Linked DNA regions of Danio rerio. Each later gene encodes a partner of the first gene's protein in a complex. Links are inferred from orthologs where the notes say so. Each region holds a gene or a part of one and is shown on either strand. Other genes may lie near its edges.

The links.
Region 2: taf1a (region 1) and polr2h share a complex: the UniProt entries of both Homo sapiens proteins name them as parts of the pol I pre-initiation complex. The link is inferred for Danio rerio from reciprocal best matches to the Homo sapiens genes TAF1A and POLR2H.

The regions. Positions count from the first base shown.
Region 1 is NC_133195.1:55,096,438-55,100,852, forward strand, and holds the start of taf1a (TATA box-binding protein-associated factor RNA polymerase I subunit A), read left to right. Parts: upstream 1-1,425; 5' UTR 1,426-1,709; coding exon of another isoform or gene 1,710-1,802; exon of another isoform or gene 1,803-2,088; intron 2,089-4,415. UniProt on the Homo sapiens protein: Component of the transcription factor SL1/TIF-IB complex, which is involved in the assembly of the PIC (pre-initiation complex) during RNA polymerase I-dependent transcription.
Region 2 is NC_133197.1:38,621,709-38,626,042, forward strand, and holds the start of polr2h (DNA-directed RNA polymerases I, II, and III subunit RPABC3), read right to left. Parts: upstream 2,922-4,334; 5' UTR 2,616-2,921; coding exon 2,543-2,615; intron 1,021-2,542; coding exon 937-1,020; intron 421-936; coding exon 327-420; intron 32-326; coding exon 1-31. UniProt on the Homo sapiens protein: DNA-dependent RNA polymerase catalyzes the transcription of DNA into RNA using the four ribonucleoside triphosphates as substrates.

The DNA.
Region 1 (4,415 bases):
CTAGTATACCTAGTAAGAGCTTGATTAGCTGCTTCAGGTTTGTTTGATCAAGGTTGGAGCTAAACTCTCCAGGACACCAGCACTCCAGGACCGAGTGTGGACACCCCTGCCCTAAAGAATTGATAGCCCCACCCTAAAGAATGAATAGCTCTGCCCTAAAGCACTGATAGGCCCTCCCCAAAGGACTTACAGCTTCACTCCAAAAAAAAAAAAAAAAAAAAAAAAAAAAAAAAAAAAAGACAGCCCTGCCCTAAAAGAATGAGAGCTCCACCCTAAAAGACAGCTCTGCCCTAAAGGACATGTAAATGGCAATTGGGGAAAGGTAGGTTATGGTATTTGATTAAACTTTACAAAGACAAACTAATTTACAAATTATGAAGTGCACAGTTACATCATTTAGAACTATACACATATATAAATAAGTGTACACTTTTATTTGATGAGGATATTAAGCACTTTTCATTTCAAGCACATACCCCAGGTGCATTTTTCAAACCTTTAAAACACTTTACAAATTCATCTGAATTAGAGAGAGAGAGAGAGAGAGAGAGAGAGAGAGAGAGAGAGAGAGAGAGGGATGGATGGATGGATGGATTGATAGATAATATATCATGTCTTTAAAACACATCCACATTAAATCTTTCACTTTTATTAGGGTTAAACTCTGTTATGACCACACAAATCTCATGTTCTGAACTGTGGTGGTTGCCTGGTTATTATAATCCCAACTTGACATTGCAGATCCTGCGATGTGACTATTGCAGATACACAAATTGCGATATCGATGCTGAAACCAAATACTGTGCAATTCTTCATCTATGGAAAATATTTAAATGGCATGTTTGCCCCAAGCCCAACACTGAATCAGTCATTCTCTCTCTTAAATGTTTTTACTCCCATCTGAAATGTGCTAATTTTTTTTTTTTATTGATTTATTTTGTTTACTCATGAAATGGAATCTCCATGCATTCCTTCTTCAATCACGGCTTAATCAAAAGGCGCAGATGAACATCAGCACAGAGTCGGCTCTTAAAATGAGTTTAAGATAATATATTTTATTATGTTTTACTTATTTATTTGTTACTAAACAGGAAGTATTTATGAATCAACACAATTACATTTTCAAGCAGTTTCAACATCTTTGCACATTTCAAACCTTATACACTAGATTAATATTCAAGCACTTGTATGAACATATGTTATATGACACCTCGGCTTCACTTGCTGACAGATGAAGTGTTCACAATATATTAGTAAGAGGCAGATTATGAAGCCCATGTGGCACTTTCTGACCCTTTCTGCACTCTTAGACCTATTTGACAAATCCAAAGGGTATTCAATGTGCTCTGAACCTTATCACCAGACACATGCACCAATAACACAACAACAGTGTTGCTTACTGTGGACTTTCACCTCTGGTAAAACACAGTCATCACCAATATGCCTGTAATGAACACACACAACTCCGTTTATATTAGCAAATTTAGCCGTCTCGGGATATTATGCGACCCCTAAATGGACTTTACCAACTGCAACAGAATTACTATGAAGACCCCAATGAGGAGGATTTAAAAAATACAACACTGCGACCTAATTACACAATTCTGCACGGATATTAGACGGAAATTGTTAATTCTGAACAGTTTAAGCTAGCATAAATCAAACAATTGACTCCTGAAGGCAGCATTTTGAGTCTAAAGGGCACTTACTTCGTGAAGTCTGGACAGGATGAAGACGAAAAAGGCAGTGTTTTCTATCTCAGCTGGTTGAGAGGTAAGAATTGGTTGTGAGTCCATCCTCATAAAGCGTTTTAGCTGATTTATTAGCGATCAGAAACGGAGGTTGAAGCCGATAAACAGTGTATAAATGGCGGACCGCTGGTTCATATCGGAAGCCGGTGGATTTTTAATATAAAACCGCTTTGTCGCGCGTGTTTGACACAGCTATTCTGTTTAAACTAAGAAGTAATAGCATAGATGGATAATAAATATATATAAATAGTTAGTATGTTTTGAAATCGCGGCTGGAGTAAGATCAGTGTTGATCTCTTTCAACACGTCAACATTTCAAAACGCTGAGCGGAGAGTCTCTCACTGAGACAAGCACTTCCACTCTGTGTGCTCGCAGTCACGTGATGCTCACAGCGGCCTCTGATTAGTCAGAACACGAGACCGTTTGATCACATTAGCAGAGATGCTAGTTGTTTTGACAACTTGGAGTTATGTTAACGATGCTTTTTTAGAGTATGTACAACAACATCAGGCTAAACTGAATAACAATGCTTTGGAACTTTGTTTGGCTATGGTTTCATACACATATGATTCACGTATGGAGTTTTATTAGCAAGTTTAGCATGCTGCGCTATTGGATTTCATTCATGCAAGTACACTTAGCAGGGTACTCTACAGACCTGAGATGCCCAAACTTTTTCTCATAACGGGACAAAAATCAACCTTAATTGAGGGCTGTGGGCCGAATATATACCAAACCGAATATATATTTATTCCAAACCATAATACATTAAATTTACCATGGGTAGTTTCCTAATTAGTTCACTAATATAAAAAAATACGTAGAAAACATAAACAATCACATTTATAACACAATGGAGTTCAATTCTGAATACACTAGTCGAGCCTTTGCCTTGATTTGCCACCAATGACTTGTGCATTGTCTTCTATCATTCATGTGACCCTATTTAAATTTTAAAAGTCTGATTTATTGAAACATAATCAGCATGCCTGCTGAAAAATAAAGCTTATACCAGCCTAGGCTGGTTGGCTGGTTTTAGCTGGTAGACTAGCCTGGTTTAAGCTGGACAAAGCTGGTTTTGGCTGGGCTCCCAGCCTGGCTAGGCTGGTCAAGCTGGTTTTAGCTGGTCATCTCCCAGCCTGACCAGCTAAGACCAGGCTGGAAATTGCTGGAAACCAGCCAGGAAATGGCCAAAACCCCTCTAAAACCAGCCTGGTTGACCAGCTAAAACAGGCTTAGGCTGGTTTAAGCCGTTTTTTTCAGTAGTGATACGCATAAAAACAAAGGTATTCGTCCCAACAACCTTCCCATCATTCTCCCTATCTTTACAGATCAGACGGTGGGCCAAATCAAAGGTTACCAGTCCCTACTTTGGGCATCTCTGCTATAGACACAGACACGTGACCTGATGCAGAATTGAACAAGAAAGTAATTTTACTCTGCAATGATCAATAATAAACTGTATTGGATATTATTTATGTGATACACATATTAGTTTTTTAATATAAAAAAACATCTTATATTTTTAATATAAAATACAAATATATATAAACTTATGACTGAATTAAAACATATGAGTACACTTTTGTGTTGTATTCATAAATAAAAATATGGTATACACCAGTGTATACCATATAAGATTATGAAACTATTATTATGAAATGTATATAACCAATGTAACAGTTGACAAGAATTTAAAGACAGAAACAATATGTATATATTTTCAAATAGAAATGACAAATAATAGATAAATAGATGTGCAAGGGATTATTAAACTTTTGTAAACATACACAAAAAATGAAAACTAGGCTAAATTATTATAGGAATTAATATAATTGAAGCTGAATATATATATATATATATATATATATATATATATATATATATATATATATATATATATATATATATATATATATATATATATATATATATATATATATATTTATTTATTTATATATATATATATATTTATATATTAATATGTATATTTAGGAGTCGGACACAGTCAAAAAATAGGTAAAGCCTCCCTAAATTCACACAAACATCATTCTTGAAAGATAGCTTGATATAAATTGTGTCATTATTTATAACCGTTTAATAAAATTTTATAATAAATATTAGAAGGTTTATTCAACATTGGGTAGGAGATGCAAAATGTTCTTGCAATTCTGCAATCAACATTCAAGAAGCCATTTTAATCAGATTTATGCTACAAAAGAAGACTAGGGCTGCACAATATTGGAAAAATCTGACACTGCAATGTTTTTCAGACCCCCTAGTTTTTCATGGTTCCGCAATCCCTTAATCCATCGTAAAATCCACAAAAAAAGAAAAAAAATTCTCTATTTAAATGCAAAATAATTGCAAATTTTTTTTAATAATTTCATAAAACACCCAATTCCAAACCATATAATTAAATTATATTCATTTCAGTTTGCAATTAATTGTCTTACATGACTTACAGATGTTGCATACACGTGATGTATCTCTCGAAAAAAGGGTCTCTCACCTGTGCCCTCACAGTCCTAACATTACATGAGAGTGGGGTAAAAACGTTTTCCAGCCTGTGTCATAAGCAGACACAGATGAAACGCAAGTGATTTACATGTGAAGTCTGAGCAAACATATAACAAACGGAGCAATAGAACAAACAGAAAAGC
Region 2 (4,334 bases), on another chromosome or scaffold:
TCCGTACATTACATAATCAAACTGATCAGCTCTGCAAAACAACAACAAACACCACCGAGTTTCATTTACTATTGTCTGTGTGTTGACCTTTCTGTGGATTTAAAGTAGCAGTGACTTAAGACAATTCCTCATTGATTAAAAAAAGTTGCCCATCAGTCATGACACTAGAAAAGTCATTTAAACAACTTTAATGATGTCATTAGTAATTAATTTACATTTTTGGGGTTCTATTTCACTATACGAAAGTGTATGTGTAAATAAAGGCCTGATTTGATTTGATCGTAGACATGAAATATCTAAGATTTAGTTTAGGAGTAATGTATGACCTGGACGGCCGGTCGTCTTGAGGATTGTATTCTCCATCGTCCGGCGTCCCGTCCTCATAAAGAGTGCTGGCGATCACCAGTCTGAACTTGTCACCTGACACAATGACATCATCCTCATTAGCATATGACAGCAACACAACATTATCATCACTAGGGCAGCAGGATACCGGAAAAACATGTAAATACTGTTGGAGTGCTGATAAAACCAACACAATCTCACGGCAATTCGTAACTTTTTCATTTAGTGGCTAATTCGTACGAATTCGAACGATCTAATTCATACATTTTAGTACGATTTGCTCATCTCCAAATGACGGTTAGGTTTAGGGGTGGGGTTAGGTGCCACGCCTCCTTTTTTATAATCATACAATTTCGTTCGTCTGAACAAAACACTGGAGAAATTACTTTATTTGTTTGTTTTTTTTAATCATTTATTTATGCAATGACCAAATTAACAGATAAGTAGACAAGTAACAATATGAAAATGTAAAAAGGTAATGGATTATAGGTTGTTTGCACATGACATCATTGATTGAATGTGTGAATATAAAACCAACTTTACCTCTATGCAGCCCAGAGAACAACACAGAGAGCAAGAACAGTGACTTACCAAGATCAACAGGGTAAATCTGGATGTTGACGTCCAGGATGAGGTCCATCTTGAAAGACTCACTTTCACAGTGAAGACGAGACACTGATCATCACAAATACAAAACAACAAATCAAGAGTGTTTAGTGAATTCTAGACTTTTAGGGGGGAAAAATAATAGTGGTTGATTTATAAAAAAAAAAAATAAATAAATAAATAAATAAATAAAGTAATTAAATAAACATCTCTGCCTTCTGATATGCCTTTTACGCAGTTTGTTTTGATTTTATTTTTATTTTAATCACTATATATTATTTAGGTAGCATCAACAAAAAGAATATTAAAGAATATAGATTTAAAAATTCTAAGTACTAAAAACACTTATTATTAATAGTAATAATAATATTGTTTTATTTGCATTTAAATTGACATTTAGACAATGTAAAAATATACTATTAATTTTTATTTAATATATTAATATTTTTTCCATTTAAAGTAAATATTAAATATATATGATCAAGTAAATGTACAAGTTAAATTAAAACTTTAAGCTCTTCAACATCCATTATTAAAGTAGTATTTATAAATATGCAATAAGCTTGATTATTATTGTATGATAAAAAAAAATCTTCAGAGGTAAAGTTGGTTTTATATTCGGATATATTCAGACTTTCTCCTTAATAATATTTTAAGAAAAAGTATTATTTGCCAATACTAAATATAGGGAAATCATGTTAGCAGCAAATGACTATCAAAGTACAACATTGTTCACATTCAGATAAACAGTGTTAATGTTGTTTACAAGTCATACTTGCGTGCTAATTCCGATCGAAAACTCAAAGTAACATGGTCAACAATATAGAGACTGCAAAATGAACGAATGTGCAAATATAAAACCAACTTTACCTCTATATATAAAAACAGTAATTAAATAAACGGCTCTGCCTTCAGATATGCCTTTTACGCAGTATGTTTTGATTTTATTTTTAATTTTGATCACTGCATATTATTTAGGCAGCATCAACAAAAAGAATATTAAAGAGAATATATATTAAAAAAATCTCAAATAATAATTAATATTATTAATAATAGTAATAACAATAAAATTGTTTTATTTGCATTTAAATTGACATTGACAATGTAAAAAAATACATTTTTAATTTAATATATTCATATTTTTCCATTTAAAATAAATATTAAATATATATGATCAAGAAAATGAGCTAAATTAAAAATTAAAAAGTTTTAAGCTCTTCAACTTCCATCATTAAAGTAGTATTAATAAGTATACAATAAGTCTAATTATTATTGTGTGATAAATAATCGAACCAACAAATAAACCTTATTGAGGTAGTTTTATATACGCACATTTAGACTTTCTCCTTAATAATATCATTAAATAAAAGTATAATTTGCAAACTTTAAATAGTGAAGTCATGTATGTTTACATGTGATTTACATGTGAGCATGGAGAACGTTAAATGAAGGAATGTGCGAATATAAACCAACTTTTCCTCAATCTAAATCTTCATGCTGTTTGTAAGTTTTATCAATAACTAACGTTATAAAACACATTGAAGAGACTTTTGTTTTATCCAGTAAATAAATAAGTGAATGAATGAATCACCTCTGTCAAACTTCTTCCCATCAGGATCGATATCCTTCACATCAAAGATATCCTCGAACAGAATCCCAGCCATTTATACTCCAGCAGGATACACTAAATGCTCAGTTTGGTGAATTAAAATCCCGCTGAAAACTAAATTATGTAGAAATCAACACAAAACTCGACGGAGACGCTTCATTCAAACACTCTCCTGCTGAATGCTGTTTTGAATAAGCGCTTTCTGGTGCACTTCCTGCAGATACACTGTGCGTAAACTCGTCCCAGCTCAGAAATATTAATAATAAAACTACTGTAAAATGAAGCAACTTTCTTTTCGTTCAACACAAATATGAAACATGCCGCGAAACAATGTGCTTCGTCTCTGGTCACTTGATTCACTACTACTTCCGGTTCGTGGCGCGCTTTTTACGACAGTAGCGTATTCGATCTTTTTATTTTTTTTTTGCCTGTTTATTTGTTTATTTATTTGTTTGTTTATTTAATAGTATATGGAGGATTAAACCTGCATAAACAATAAGTAAATAAATAAATAAACAAAGAAATACGCAAATAAATAAATAAATAAAAATATACTCAAATTCGTGCATAAATAAAAAAATAAATAAGCAAATAAATTAACTAACTTATTAATAAATAAGTACACAAATTCCTGTATAAATAAAACAATAAATGCATAAATACGCAAATTAATAAATAAATTAATTAATTAATTAATATACACATTTCTGCATAAATAAAATAATAAATTAATTAATACGCAAATAAATGCCCCATAACCATGTTATTAATTTAATTATTAATCTGTCCACATTCTAATCCGTCCTCCATAATAGTGAACATACCTGCATAAATACCAGATTAATGCATATTTTATATATATATATATATATATATATATATATATACAATAATGATAATAATAATAACAACATATTATGCATATACATAATATGTTATTATTATTATTATCATTAATAAAATTATTATTATCATCATTATTATTTTTATTATTATTATCTTTGTCAAAACTGACTTTGTATTTATTAATGTTTTGTGTACATATTTATAATTTAATAATTTTTTAACAATACATATTAAAATACAACTTTGTATGTTATAAATATGTACAGAAATGCATGTAATATTTGTCATGTAAAATTGCTTTAATAAAGGTTAATATGAATATAAAAGTTAGTAAGTAAATATAAAATATATTATAAATATATATAATTTATTTATTTTAGTTTAGTTATTCATAACCATAAATAGTTTAAATGAGAATTTAAATTATGAATAAACATGATTGTTTTAATAAAGCATTTTTTTCATAAATTCTTAGTTTTGTTTAATTGTTATTTGTTTATCAATATTAGCATATATCAATATTAAAACAAGTGCTTTGTCACTATTACTATGTTAATATTACTTTAATAAACGTTACTAAAAAAATAATGCAGCGATTTCCCATTAACCACGAAATTCAAAGATTCGAAGCACAAATTACTACAAATCTACACCACATTAAAACTACAATTTTTTTACGACACTCATTTCCGACACCCCAACTCCTGTCGCGGTTACTAGGAGAAAGCGTCTTCCTCATGGTTACCATCACAATTAGCCAAACATCCTCCGTTAACCGAGCTGAAATAATCTTTAACGCTTTTATATCTCTGTGATTTTGATATAAAACGCTTCAGATATGTTTACCGACGGCTGCACATGAAGTATAGTTCGTGAGGTGAGCTGATTTCTGCAGTTTTCGACTGATTATCAAGCACGCGCACAAGCT